Coturnix japonica: one gene and its partner. The protein of the gene in region 1 interacts with the protein of each later gene in a pairwise test. Links are inferred from orthologs where the notes say so. Each region holds a gene or a part of one and is shown in the gene's direction. Other genes may lie near its edges.

Region 1 (6,789 bases):
GTTGTCTTTGGTGCAGTAAATAAAATGGTTTTCATTACATATTCTGTTATTCTTTCCTTGGCATGCAGATGTAGTTGCAGTGCAGCATGAAAGAGTTCTTTGCTTCTAGACATTAAAGATTTTGTTCCCATTTACCAGAGAAGGAGGAGCCACAGTGATATGTAGCAAAGTGCCAGTAGAAAAGGAACTTAGCAGATTTGTTAAGGAATCATTGAGTTATTAACTCTTTCTGCATTTACGTTTGTTCTAGTTCCTTAGTGATGTGATTTGGGCTTGTTTTTACTATTTTGATTGTAATGTGAATTTTGGGAGAGTTTTGAAGGAAGTTGTCTGCTTACAAGATGTGAAAAGGCCAGTCTAGGTGCTGGGTGTAAAGTGGGAAGAAACACTTTGTACAAATGAGCAAAGCGAGAAAGTGACTTGCAGCAGATGATTCAGTGATTAGGCTCTGCAAAAGAAACCACTGTGAAGTGTGTGAAATCAGAAGGGATACAGAATTTTAAAAGGATTTGAGAAAGAGGAAATAAATGGTGAGAGCACCTGCAATGAAAACTAGTTGGATGACTGTGTTATGGTTAGGTTGGGAAATCCAGAATTAAGGGGTTCATACTAATCTTTGATCAAAGCAGGGCTGAACATATGGACAGTATGGATTTTGGCTGTTGTTTTCTTTCATATGCAGAACTGAGGAATGTAAGAGATGCTAGACAGGTTGGGTGAAGGAGAAGAATTTCTGTTTTCCTATTTGATGTTTAGGTTGGTAATATTTCCTTGGTTACCTTCAGTCTGGAGAAGATCCTTCAGAGATGAGATTATAGTAGAAACTAATACGTGAATGGAAGGTAACGAGTACTTGCCATCTTGATATATATTTTTACAGTGCAATATTTAAAAGACAAAGTGGACCAAGAATGGAGTATCTGGAATCACAGAGATAAAAGAATAGGTACAGAAGATGTGAAATCTGAAAAATGAAATGCTTTAGACTGAGACATAAAAATTCCTTGAGAAGTGGGAGAGTTGAGAAAGGTAGTATTGGCAGTTACGTGTTGAGCAGCATAGAGAGCTTCTACTAAGATAAAGCAACAGTGCTGCTGTGAAAGCTGATCTTCCTCTGAAGCCAGAATACCTAAGGGAAAAGCAAACAAGAAAGACCCTTTTTTTGTGTTTATAGTGCCAGAGTTGAATCAGGAATGTAGGAAGTAGTTCTTTGTTCAATTGGTAAAGTGCTGAAAAAGCAATCTGGCAAGGTTTGTATATGTGCTGGCAGAAATAAATACTTTGACAGAAGATGACGGGGTGGTATGAGCCCTTGATTCCTCTCATCCTTGACCATAATGCACAGGAGCATCATCCAGAACTTGAAGGGAAGGTGGGACTCAGTAGGTAACTATGCAGTCCTGGCATAGTTTCTTCTTTTTTTAACCATGACCATTGATAACAGAGCTGATAGTAGGTGATTTCTGGGTGAATTCCTGCCTCCCTGGAGCCTGTACGAGGCTTTGGTGTTGATTTGCTGCTAGGGGTCTTCACATTTAAGGGGCTAGGTATATAATGAGGGAGAAATAATGCAGTATTTAAGAAGCTGAAAGAGCGGTTGGAGTTTTATTTAAGGGTAAGTAGTGTGTATGAATACTGACAGCTGGATTGGAAACTGAAGAAACTGAGAGATGATGGAAGTTAGAGCATAAGTCAAGTGAAAGGTTGAGGTGCTGATTGAGAAGCGTGTGATGGATCCATGGAGTATCTTGGAAGAGGTAAGAAAGGGCTGAAGGAAGAAGAACAGTTACAGGATGAAGGAAGTGGAGGTGGAGACCACACCTTTGTACAACCTGTGCTGGTGCAAGCCTTGCAAGCGTTTTCAAGTTGTTATACTTCAAACATCTTAGGTCAAACTGTTTTTTAGACTCCCACTCAAACCTTGCTGGCTTCACTGATAGTTGTCAGTATGAAGGAAGACTTGAGTGCCTGAGAGATGTGCACAGAGCCTGACTTCTTTGAAGGCGCTAGTGGGGCTGGAGAACGCAGTGCCCCTCTTACTGAATGTGAAACTGGGTACTCATCTTCAGATTAAAGAGAAAGGCTTGGCAGGGGCTTATGTCATGCTGTATTTTATGAGATCCTCACTGCCTCCTTTGTGTTCCATTCACAGGGATTATCCCTGAGGTTCTAGGAGCTTTTTCCTAAACATCTTTGGAGCTGGAACGCTCTTTAAATAAACATTTGTGTACAGTTGCCTAGGTAGAATTTTGCATCTCACGTTGTAACACTTGGTGTGAAATACGTCCTCTTTTGGTCTTACAACATTACAAGCTGTTTTAATTTCCAATGAAGAACTGAAATGGTCTTGGCTTTTCTTTTATGAGGCAATATTACAATTCCTTACTTGTGGTGTTTCTTCCGTACAGTATTTTAGGATTAAATGTATTTTCTGTTATGTGCTTGGACTTTGCTAGTCCTGATATCTGAAGTTGAGAAAATCTCTCTTATTCTTGTAGATTCTGAACTATTTTGGAAAAGTCAAAATTAGAACTACATTGGTAACGAAGAATGAACCCTACAAGCCACACCCTCATGATCTAGTCGGAAAAGACTGCAGAGATGGCTACTATGAAGCAGAGTTTGGGCCCGAACGGCGAGTCCTGTCGTAAGTAGTGGTGGTGTTCAGCAATTTGATTAATCGTGCAAGCGATATTCTGATCTTATGTCTAAAATTAAGAGGGCAGTTAGTAAGCTTCAGCAAAGGCAGCATACTAATCCATCTGGGAGATAAGTCCAAAGGTTTCCTTGAGCTAGTTCCTTTTTCAGTGTTTCACACACTCCTTTTCTGTTCTGCTCTTCTCCTGTCTTCACTCTCCATATGTCAGTCTCCATATGTCAGTCTCCATTTCCTTTCTTCCACTTGCTTCTTTAGTCCTGTTCATTAGCACTTCTTGAGCTTGATGATCTCTCCTACATTCAGTGTACGAAAATAATGACTAATAGGATTGTTAATGACAACACTCAAATTAATGCTTCCTGAGACTCACGTAATTCACGTCTTTCACAGAAACTGTATTTGGACTTTGTGGAAACGGGAGGAGAAATTTTACACTGAATATCATGTTGTTGAGATGATGTTGATGATTGTCACCTGTTTAGAAATGTGTTGGCGATTGTCACTGCTGTTTCTGTTTGCTAAGTGGGTTTTCTTGGTGGGTTATTTTTTTCTGGTGGTGTCTTTTTCTTTTCAGTGAAAATACAGTTTCTACTCAGCCTCGCTGTGTAGAACAAGTATGCCGGGGAATGACCTATTCATGGAAGTAGTAAAGAGGAATTAAGGCGTTGTATAAAACATGTTTCTCAGTGCTGTTCAGGAGGATATTAGGATTTTGTATTTATTACTTATTACTTTGTATTTATGTGGGTTTAGTCAGTAGAATAGTATTAAAGGAGAGAACTGAAGACACACAGTTTGTTTAATGATAATAATTGTCTGATGGTGGAATAAACTGTTTTAATAGTGGAGATACTTCTACAGTGTACAGCTCAGGCTCAAGTGATCATGAACGTATAGTAGATACATTCAGCTGACATCTGACACGGGTTTTCTTTTTGCTTGTTTTTAGCATTGTTCTCAACCTTCTCCTAGCTGGTAAATGGTAGTTAATGCTGTTTTCCTATTTATTTTTTTCCACCATAAGAGAAAGATAGAACTGTCTCTTCAGATACTTACCTTGCATTTTGAATATTGTAACATCATCCTCATTGGCCTCCCTGCAAAGAGTTCATCTTGTCTACATGGCCATCATAGGTGTCTTAAACTGTTAGGAGACCTTTCGCCTTCGTCTGACCATTCATTCACTACCTTCCTCCATGCTTTCTCAAATCATGCTTCCTTACCCAGGTTCAAACAGTGCCTGCTGTTCTAGCCCATCCTACTTCGAGTTCTCATCTCAGTGGCTTCTGATCTAAAGCAATAAAGCCTAATTGCTTAACACCTTTTCTGGCTATGTATTATATCTACTGGGGAAAGAAGGACCCTGATGATTGTTTTTCCTCTTGGTACTTTGTTGCGCATTTTAAGCCCTCAGAGATCCTGAATTTTACGAGCTATAGGTTGTAATGCCAGAAGTACTGAGCTGCTTTGCAAATTTGTATTTATTTCATGTCTGTTATATGCACGTATCAAGTCATTTTATTTGACATAGTGCTGTGGTGAGCTTCAGTTCAGCTTGAAAGAGAAGATCCTGATGGGAAGAGGCTCTTTTTGAATTGCTTTTAGCATTTGGTACCCTTCGTTGTTTTTTTTTTTTAAAACAAGTCACTGGTTGCTGTAAGATGAAGGAACAACGTGATCCATAATTGGATCTGGATGTTTCAAGTCATTTTCGTTCTTGTGGCTGGTGAATCAGTCTTCACATTCTCTTTGAGTCTGCGTTAGAGAAGAACATCATACAATACAAGTGAGCAGGTAGTGGTTCTAGCTCTTTACTCTTTCTAGGCATCTCAATCAAAGGAAAAAAAAATCCCAATTATTTTGTGTAACTGGAATTACCCAGATTTTGGGCTGCCTTCTATTTAAGTTCCCTGTGTAATCCTAGTTGAACAAAACCTCCTGTATTGCTTGTTGACTGATGCTCTTTGTGCTGCTGCCTGAACTTGATCAGAGCTCCCTCTGTCCCAAACATCAAAGCAAAAGTATCAGCGTTGGAGCTCAAGTGATTGCCTGCATACTGAGATTTTTACTTCATAGTTCTCGTGCTCTCTACATGGATGATATCATAGTTTTAATGTTTGGTCCTTTTTTTTTTTTTTAAATGTTTTTTGTTCTGGTTTTTTTTCCCCTTTCTTTTTTTTCTCTTCCTATTTCTCCCTCTCTTCTTGTTATCTTGCTTGCTTCCAGTCAGCAAGTGTTTATGTGAAACCCTGCAGGCTTCCTGAGGTCCTTGATTGTTTCTTCTCTGATCCTGTCCTCTGTTTGACAGTTGTTAAATAGACACTTGCACTGCTGCAGTTCATGTTTTAGAAAACATTTATAATCTGAAAGTTAGGGGTGCTTAAAAGTCTAGTTTCTTTGCCCAGGTGGTTTAATTCACAGTGCTTGAAGCAAACAGTATAAAGGTTCTTGGTCCTTGCAGAGCTGGATTCAGCTTTTGTGAGGCTAGTTCTATATGCATCCTCAGCTGATGTCTGTGACTTCAGGTGAATTGCCGGAGAGTCTGGGCCTATTCATGTGGCAGTTTTGGGCTGTAACATGGAACCAGGCCTGTTTGTGGACTTGAAGTATGGTTCAAACTGAATTAGCAGAATAAAGTGCATATTTAGGAAAGAAGAGCTGAGTTGTGTGCTGTCATCAAGCCCTAAAAGAGTAGAATATACAAAAAGAATTGTGAAATACAAATCAACATTGTCAGTAGTCATATATGAAACCCAAGCGATTTACTGAGCTATGACATGCTGATTGTGTTTCATTTTCATTTTTGAGTCACTGTGTCAAGTTCAGAGGGAAGCTTGTGCGTTCTTCCAGTAAGTGAAAGCTCTGGAAGAGGATTCTGATTGCAGTGATTTTGGTAATCACTGAACGGACTGTGTTGGGCACGAGCAAGGTGCTTTAGGGGAATTAAACTTGGGTAGTCTTGTTCAGAGCAGGGAAACGTAGCACTGCTCTTAAGAGTTGTGGCAGGAAGGTGGATCAAGTTGATTTTTAGGCATAACTAAAGAACTTTTGTTTTGTTTCAAAGGAAGGGATGTTGCTGGTTCTGGAGCAGGATAGGCAGAGCCTATTGCCGTGGTTTATCTTCTGAGCTTACTGTAACATTGTGAAACATGAATTTTTAGAAATGTTTTTATTTTTTAACTTCCTGTTTTACATCCACTCAGCTCTGATGTCATGGTTTTTCCATGTGGGAAACAGTCAGCTTGCCTGGGACTCCCCCCGCCTTCTGCATTGGGGTGACCTATACTCATATGCAAATAAAGAAGAGCTGAAGCTCTTGAGAACTTTTCTGTAGCTACATGAGATTTCAGAAAGTGCTTTTATTTGTATCAAAAGCCTTAAAAATAGTGTTCAAGATTTACATTCCCTGATAAAAGCAGGAGCACAAATTCTTAACTGATGCAAACAATAAGGTTTGCTTTAAATACTTTTCACTTTCAATGACCTGAGACTGACTGTATTTTAATTTTTAGTCTCTGTGGGTTTACTGCAGGTTTAACTATTTTTAATACAGATGTATTTATTCCTCTTTAGAACTGCATTTTAGTAGTCCTTAAATTTTCTGCTCTTATTTTAGGAAAAGTATATCCTTACTGTCAGACCTGTTAACACTTCTGTCAAAGGAAGCACTTTTTAAATTTCTTAAGCCACACGTTATCACAGTATTGCTCAGCACATGATTTGTCTAGTATTCTACACTATTCTATTACTTGCTGAAATCCTATCATGTGTACTTCAGTTTTCAGAATTTGGGAATTCAGTGTGTGAAGAAGAAAGACCTGAAAGAATCGATTTCTTTGCGAATCTCTAAGAAAATCAACCCCTTTAATGGTGAGTAGAACTTATTGTCTGAAACAAAATTTCACTTTGCAAGATTGTTGCTGGTTGGCTGGTTTTGTTTTTTGTCTTGCCTTTGCTTTTGCGCTAGAAGTGTATTTTCAGGTTTTTATTTCAGTGTTTTTATTTCAGAGAAACACTCTTCCCCTTCTGTGCCTCTAGTAGTCTTTCCTCACTGTCATCACATGATGAATCTGGTTGGAAAGTTGCTGTTTTTCTCCTCCCCCCCACAGTAGCAGTGTAAGTTGGCTGTG
Region 2 (7,518 bases), on another chromosome or scaffold:
TGTTTGTCTAGCTTGCTTCATTGCAGGACTAACGTTAACCCTGGTGTAGGTTCTCACCTTCGGTTGGATGGCTTTAGAACCTCCCTCGTTTCTGTGTCCTTACCCAGTCTCCCTCGTTTCCACCTGCATCCTTCTGAAACGATGCGTACCTGAGGGCATGGGCGGTCGGTAAGAATGGCCCGCTGCCCTCAGGAAGGCGCTAAGGAAGTTCCAATCTGTGCAGGGGAATATAGCACCCTTTGCAACATCACGTTGGTATGGCTCTTGCTGTGCTCGTATCTGAGTTGGTGAACATCAGCCAGATAGGATTTAATAGTTGTGTCGTCATCATCGCCCTACTTGGGATGATGTTGCAGGTTAGATGCTTGTGAAATATTAATGGGAGCGTGTAACTCCTAAAGCTGGTGTTCTAGAAATCTGGACATGTTAGTGAGGAAAAGTTGAGGGGATATCTTTAAAATACATTGATGATTTAGGGAAAACGTGCTTAGCATAACAGTAGTTGATGTACTTTAAGTGTGCTAGCACCATTTTGCTGTACAGCTTTTATGAGCCCCTTGAAGTAGTATACAGGCCGGGTTCTTATAGCCTTAGAGCCCAGGTTGATGTACCAAACTCTTGCACAGTGATGGCAGAATTGCATGTAAACTGAGAGAACATTCTTAGTGTGTTTTTTTTTGTACCAAAGCTACCAGGTCTAGACCCTGTGCTCCATGTAACCGCTGATATTTGGAGTCTAATAGCTTCAAGATATTTTCCTTTTGTTTTATTTAGGGCGGAAAAGGGGAGGGGAAGAAAACTTCCCCAGTTTGAGAGGGAGATCCATGCTGATTATTATTATTGTATTTTATTACTGTAAAGGTTGGATCTGGAGATCGCATTTGTCTCAGTTCCCGTTTGTTTAGTCTCTGTGTTGAAGGGCCCAGTGTAGGATGTTGTAAATAAATAATACCATGAAGTGATCTTTAAGCTGAACAAAACTCCCCTGATCCTTACAGAACTAAAGCTACAAGATCTTAAACTTAAAATGCACGACTTTGATATTTTCCCCCTGCCATTAGCTAGCCATGGAGGAGTGTTATATTGATAAAGCAATTCACATGGAGTTGCTGTTTAAGGATATAGTAATTCTCCTGTTGTGAAGACAGAATTTCAGCATTCATCAGCACCTACAGTTTAGACAAGCACAGTGTATTTTGGATGTTTGTATGCTCAAAGACAGTCAGACTGTGGTACCAGTAGCACCACTAATGTGAAAGCACATGCATTGAGATGAGGAATGGAGGATGGTGGTATAACTCAATGTACAAATCAAAGAGGAAAGAATTGTGGTTGGTTGTTTTCCCTGCATTATTTATGTACTGAAATTAGTCTCAAACCTTGGTCCTTTAAAAGGGGGAAAAACAAAACAAAACACAAATGGTGATGCTAAATTTGTTACTTACAAGTTGAAGTCCCTCTCTGAAGGCAAAGTGACTCATGTTATTTGTGCTTTAATTATTCTTCATTTGGTGCTTTGAGCTTCACCTTAGCATGGAGAGCAGCCCCTGTTTCTCTGCAGGTGCAGAGTAGGAGAGCAGGTGCCTGGGGAGGAGTTGGGCACATTTGGGAAGAACACAAGAGGGAGTTTGCTCTCATCTTCAAGTTCTCATCTTGGTACTGAAATAGGTGGGAGAACCAGAAACATTTAAAAGGGAGAAGCTGGATGGTATTTGACTTCTGTGCTTGGAAGCACCAAATTTCACTTTAAATATTGGTGAAGAGGTAATTCTGTGAAGTGTGCTATTCTTCCTGTAGATAAAGTTTAATACTGATATGCCTAAGTATCCTTAGTGCTTTCTGTTTCTGTGACATTGAATAGTATTTCTGGGAAATCACTACAACAGCCTTCAGCCTTGCCTTGCTTTCTGGTTTGCAGGTAGGAGCTGAGGGATTTGTGATGTAGGAGGGGAGGGGCTGACAAGGCTTTTAAAATCTTCTCACACTTCAATATTTTTTGCTTCTTTTTTTTTTTGGTAGCATTTCTGTCTTTTTTAATTGTTTTAATAAGGCCTTGCACGTTGATTTAAGGAATGGGGCGTTGTAGAGATCTTTGCAGCTTTGCACCTTTTGAGTTTATAAATGAGGTACGTGAGACTGACAACAGTTTCCCCATTGAGAGACAGAGGAATTGTCTTCAGAGTAGGAGGAGAGTTGAAATGTTCAGGTTGCTGATGTCCTGCGTATTCAACAAAAGTGAAGCTGCTCATGTAGGTAATAACCTGACTAGTGTAATATAGGTTGGAGGGTACCGTCTTGTTCCTCTATGAAAACTTAAAGTAGTAAACAGTGATTAACTCATGCACTGTTTTGAATCATAGTCTAGGCAAGTTGCACTCTTTCTTTCTTCTGTCATTTCATTAATTTATCTTGTTAGTTTCATGGGTTAGGCTAAATTAAATTCCAAAGTAGCAAAACATGTTCTGAATGAAAGTGTGAAGCTGCAGCTTGATGGAGAAACTAACAATTGGTGGAGGGGGAATAACAGCCCAGTATCTTTCGCTTTGATGGCTGGGAAGAGGCTTTGGTGAAGGTTAGCTGATATTATTCCAGAACAGGGTTATTGGAGTGCTAGCCAGATTCTTACCATCTCTGTCTGTAAGCAGCTGTCTTATGAGGGGAAGGATCTGGTATTTAACAACGAGCGCTGAAAAACATTGTGTTCATTCATGGGCTGGTGCTGACAAGTGGTTTAGTTCATCAGGCACGTCAATGTGTAAATCTTTTTTCTTATTTTACTATAGTATCACATGTGCTTTAAGGAATGGTATTGTGCTGGCAGTGGAGTTGACCATCCAATATCTTCATCATGCAGGAATGTAAGGAGATTTCTGGCCGTCTCTCTGTGAAATGCTGTTAGGAGTGAAATTGCTTCTCTGTGGCATTGAGGATAACACTTCGGTAAACATGGCTTCCTTCTGGCAAGAAAAAAGTTGGTGGTTTTTCTACCACAGAATGTTCCTCTTCCCTGTATCAAAAGGCAGAGGTTTATCTGCATGGAAGGTAAACACAGATAGAGCTACAAATAAATTAAACTCGACTGTAGTTGCAGAATAGGAGTATCTGCAAGAGCAGATATGTGCAGTAGCAGTTAAAATTTGTAACGTGAGTCCCAAACAGTTTTCAAGTGGAAACAGTATGTTGATGGCAAAAATTGAGTTGCATCATTTCCAAGAAGGAAGTCGATATTTGTTCTGGAGTCTGCTATGTGATTTTGTGTTGTAAAAGAGAAGGGAAGAGTAACAATCGCGTGCCATACTGTGTTCCTCCCTAGACTTGCAGTGAGTAGCTGTGCTGTTTGTTTGCTGCTGGTGGTGTTGGGATGCTTGGCAGTTTGTAAGCTGCTAAGTGACATCTTGGTAACTGGAGAGCGGTGAACTGAGGTTCAGAAGAACTTTACTGTATTTGATTTGCTTATCACAGAATCACACAGAATCACAGAATGACCCGGGTTGGAAGGGACCTCAAGGATCATGTAGTTCCAAACCCCCCTGCCTGGCAGGGCCACCAAACATACACCTTTACTAGATCAGGTTGCCCAGGGCCCCGTCCAACCTGGTCTTGAACACCTCCAAGGACGGGGCATCCACAACCTCCCTGGGCAGCCTGTCCAGGGCCTAACCACTCTCCTAATGAAGAACTTCCCCCTAACATCCAACCTAAATCTTCCCTCTTTTAACTTTAAAACCATTACCCCTAGTCCTGCTATATCAGCCCTTTCGAAGAGTTTACTCCCCTCCTGGGAGTAAGTTCCCTTCAGGTACTGAAAGGCTGCAATGAGGTCACCCCGCAACCTTCTCTTCTCCAGGCTGAACAAACCCAACTCCCTCAGCCTGTCCTCATAGGGGAGGTGCTCCAGCCCCCTGATCATCTTCATCTTATACTTGAGCAGTCTTGGGTACTAGAAACTGAATTCACTAAAATGGAAGCTTTTACTAGTAATTGTGCTTCGGTGTCATTAGAAAGGCCTGATGGATACTGTGGATGTGTGGTGGTTTTTTTCTTACCATTTATTATGTAGGAGCAATGCAGATGTATAAAGATGAAATGTCTTCTATTATGACTCCTGAGTCAGCAACGTAATATTTAAACAATGCCAACTTTCTGCTCAGGCAGATATTTAAGTCTTGATTCATGAGAATTGGTCTATTGAGGTCAAGTGTAGGTTTAGTAAGTGCGGAGTGTGAGTGGAGCTAGAGTGGGCCTAGTTAATTAAAAAGAAGCGTAAAAATGAGAACTTCTACAATGAAGTTGTCGTGTTGGTACAAATCTTTGGTGTGCCTCTCAGAAACCTTGCATATGGCCTCAGACTTGGGGGGGAGGGAGGCAGCAGTGTGTCAAGTACAGGCTGCTTTGCAGAGGGCTGTGTGGAGACTGGAGAAATTAATGAACTGACAGGAGCTTTGTGAAGTTAACTGTTAAGTGCCAAGTCCTGAATCTGAGAAGTAACACTGTACATCAATACGTGTATGCTCTGGGGACTGACTGGAGACAAAGCAAGTTGGCAGAAAAAGACCTGTGGCAAAGAGGGCCAACTGCACACTGGGTTGTTTTTAGCATGAATGCAGAGAGGGGTGAGGAAGTGGTTCTTCACTTTCCCATGCACTTCTGAGACCATATCTGGAGTGCTGTGCCCTGTTCTGGGAAATCCATTAATACACCAAAGTGAGTCCAGTAGAATGCCATAAGGGAGATTAAGGGACGGGACTATGTGATGTGAGAGAGGGGCAGAAAGGTGGCCACTTAAACCCACCACAGGTACTTGACTCCAGAGGAGAATCAAACATTTCGGTGGCGCACAGGGGTAGGATGAGAAACAACAGGTAAAAGCTGGAACATGATAAATTATGACTGGAACCTGGGGAAAAAAAATGGCGTTACAGTTGTCTCATTGAACTGATTGAATGGAGAGACTGTGGATTCCCCATCCTTGATGATATTCAGAAACTCAGTGAGACAAGTTCTTGAGCAGCCTACTTTTGTTGGACCTGCTTTGAGCTGGAGGTAGGACTAGATGCCCACCAAATGTCTCTTCCTGCATCGTTTTTTTTGTCTCTAGTATAAGGTTCTTTTAAATTAGTGCTGTGGTTGTGTTTTCTTTTTTGTGAAAGAAAATGCCAGGGTCCCCACAACACCCTTCTCTCCAAATTGAAAGTGTATGGATTTGATGGGTTGACTGCTCAATGGATGAGGAACTGGTTGCAAGTTTGTACCCAGGGAGTGGTGGTCAGTGGCACAGTGTCTGGATAAGGATCAGTGACTAGTGATGCCCCTCAGGGCTCAGTGCTGTTTAGTGTTTTCATTGGTGACATCAACAGTGGGATCAAGTACCCCTCAATAAGTTTAAACTAATATGAGTTAATACATTTTTTATGGTAAGGGTAGCGGAGCACTACCAGGTTGCCCAGAGAGGTGGTTGATGCCTTGACCCCGAAGTCATCCAGAGTCTGGATGGGGTTCTGAGCAACCTGACTGAGCTGTAGGCACCTCTGTTTGTTGCAGGGGAGTTGTTCTGGGTGACCATTAAGAATTCTTTCCAACTCAAAATGGTCTATGACTGTATTACTGTCTCCAGACCTGATAAAATATTTTCTCTGTGAACAAATCAGAGGTTTTGAAGTAGCATTTTTCTCTTTATCTGGGAAGTTTCTGCTGTTGTAAGATGATAACGAATCCTCTGTCCACAAATTAGAGACTAGTTCTTCCGGTAGGTGCCAAGTTGATTAAATCTTATTAGGCTGAATGAGTTCTGGGTTGAATCATGAAGGTAGAATGGATATGAAATCCATAATTCTTCTAAAAGTTCTGTTTATTTGAAATGTGAGGATCTTCACTTGAAGATGGCTATTTGTGGTATCATTTATACCTTGCTGGAAAGAATTCCACTGTGTATTTTAAGCTCTGCCTATTACAACAGGCAAGGGTTAGAGCTTTTTTTTCCTCAGTAATTAGAGGTTACCAAAAAGTATAACTGGAATGCCATTACTGTGCACCTTTTGGTTTTCTTAATTCTCTGTGGTGTGTTTGGTCATGTCTTCCAGTTTGTACTAGAAAATCACAGAATCATGTAACTTGGAAAAGGCCTTCAAAGTGATCAGCCTCAACTACCAACCTGACCCACTGTTACACCGTGTCCCTCGGGCAGAATAACTCGAGATGAATCTCTACATCTCAGCCTTTAAAGGATTTGGTCCATAAGCTGCTGCTTCTTGTTATTTAAAGAGTAATTTGCTCAAAACAAAACGCGTTTTCTAGGGCATTTCATGAGAACTTCTTACTACTTTCACTTTTCAGTGATCTTCCTCAACTATTGGTTTACTTGGTTTGCTACACCTGGAATACAATTGAACTTCTTAAAAAGTATTGTGTAGATACTGATGAACACTAGTGTTATTCATAGCACTGCTCAAATCTACCATTCAGGGTACTCAGTGCACAGCGCTAGTGATCATTTGACCAGACCTGTGAGTTGGCCATGTATTGTTAATAGTACTTCTGCAGGGAAGGCAAGTTCTGTTACTTGTTCCCCTTGTTCAGTTAATAGCGTTTTTGTTGTTAATGTGTATCTGAGATTTCTAGTGAACACTATTCATTTTGGAAGAATCCCAAAGATGCTGGAAGGTAGTAGAAAGCAGGAAAACCTTGGTAACCACTGAAGTCAGGCTCGTTTGATTGTCTTTCGTTATCTTTTAAAATCCTGAGGCAATGTACAGTTGTATGTTACAGGACTGGGTTAGTAAGCTTAGGATTTGCAGTTAAGCTGCAGCTACTACTGGGCGCTGCCTTCTGACCACAACCAAATGGACCCCTCATGGTAGAAATCAGCCAGTTATTTAACCTTCCCAGTCTCCCATTCATTCTTCTGTGCTTATTTCTAGGAGTTTGACTTTAATAGGAAAGAAGTGTACGAGTTCTAAGGTTAGTTCACTTTACTTGGTTTGAAATTTAAAGATGATTTCTGTTTTATCATAGTAAACTTCTAGAATTGTAAAAGTGTGCAAGAAAGTACTGGCTGACGGTCCAGTCTTGAGTCATGTTTAAAGGTCATTCAGTCACATTGAACTTGTTAAATTAGGGCACATAGTTAGTGGAGTTCTGATGTTACTCACTGAGCTTGGTTTCTCAACCCAAAGATTCCTGTCATTACTATCCTTTGTTTTTACACTAATTATTATTACTTGTATTACATTAAGGGAAATGCTTTTGGTTAAACGTTATAGTTACTGTGCTGGCTTTCAGCATCTGACAAACCAAGTAAAAACCTTGTGTTTAAGATGTGGAAAGCTGAGTTATTTTGTCACAGAGATAATCAGTTCTGAGAGTTTACATTCTATGTGTGAAAGTAATGCCTGCTATTTATTTCCATGGAAACTACAACAGATACTAAGAGCACAAAAACACTGTTTGATAGAGCAAATTCTCAGCTGCAGAACACTATTTTTCAACATAGCTAATGGTAGGTGGTGATTGTGTGTTTTC

The links. The genes of interacting proteins can lie anywhere in the genome.
Region 2: the proteins of REL (region 1) and UBE2K interact in binary tests that used the Homo sapiens proteins (3 or more experiments, as listed by UniProt). The two-hybrid records come from large-scale screens. The link is inferred for Coturnix japonica from reciprocal best matches to the Homo sapiens genes REL and UBE2K.

Annotation. Positions count from the first base shown.
Region 1 is NC_029518.1:5,499,211-5,505,999, reverse strand, and holds part of REL (proto-oncogene c-Rel), read left to right. Parts: intron 1-2,498; coding exon 2,499-2,647; intron 2,648-6,437; coding exon 6,438-6,529; intron 6,530-6,789. UniProt on the Homo sapiens protein: Proto-oncogene that may play a role in differentiation and lymphopoiesis.
Region 2 is NC_029519.1:62,493,348-62,500,865, reverse strand, and holds the start of UBE2K (ubiquitin-conjugating enzyme E2 K), read left to right. Parts: upstream 1-2,882; 5' UTR 2,883-2,889; coding exon 2,890-3,042; intron 3,043-7,518. UniProt on the Homo sapiens protein: Accepts ubiquitin from the E1 complex and catalyzes its covalent attachment to other proteins. In vitro, in the presence or in the absence of BRCA1-BARD1 E3 ubiquitin-protein ligase complex, catalyzes the synthesis of 'Lys-48'-linked polyubiquitin chains.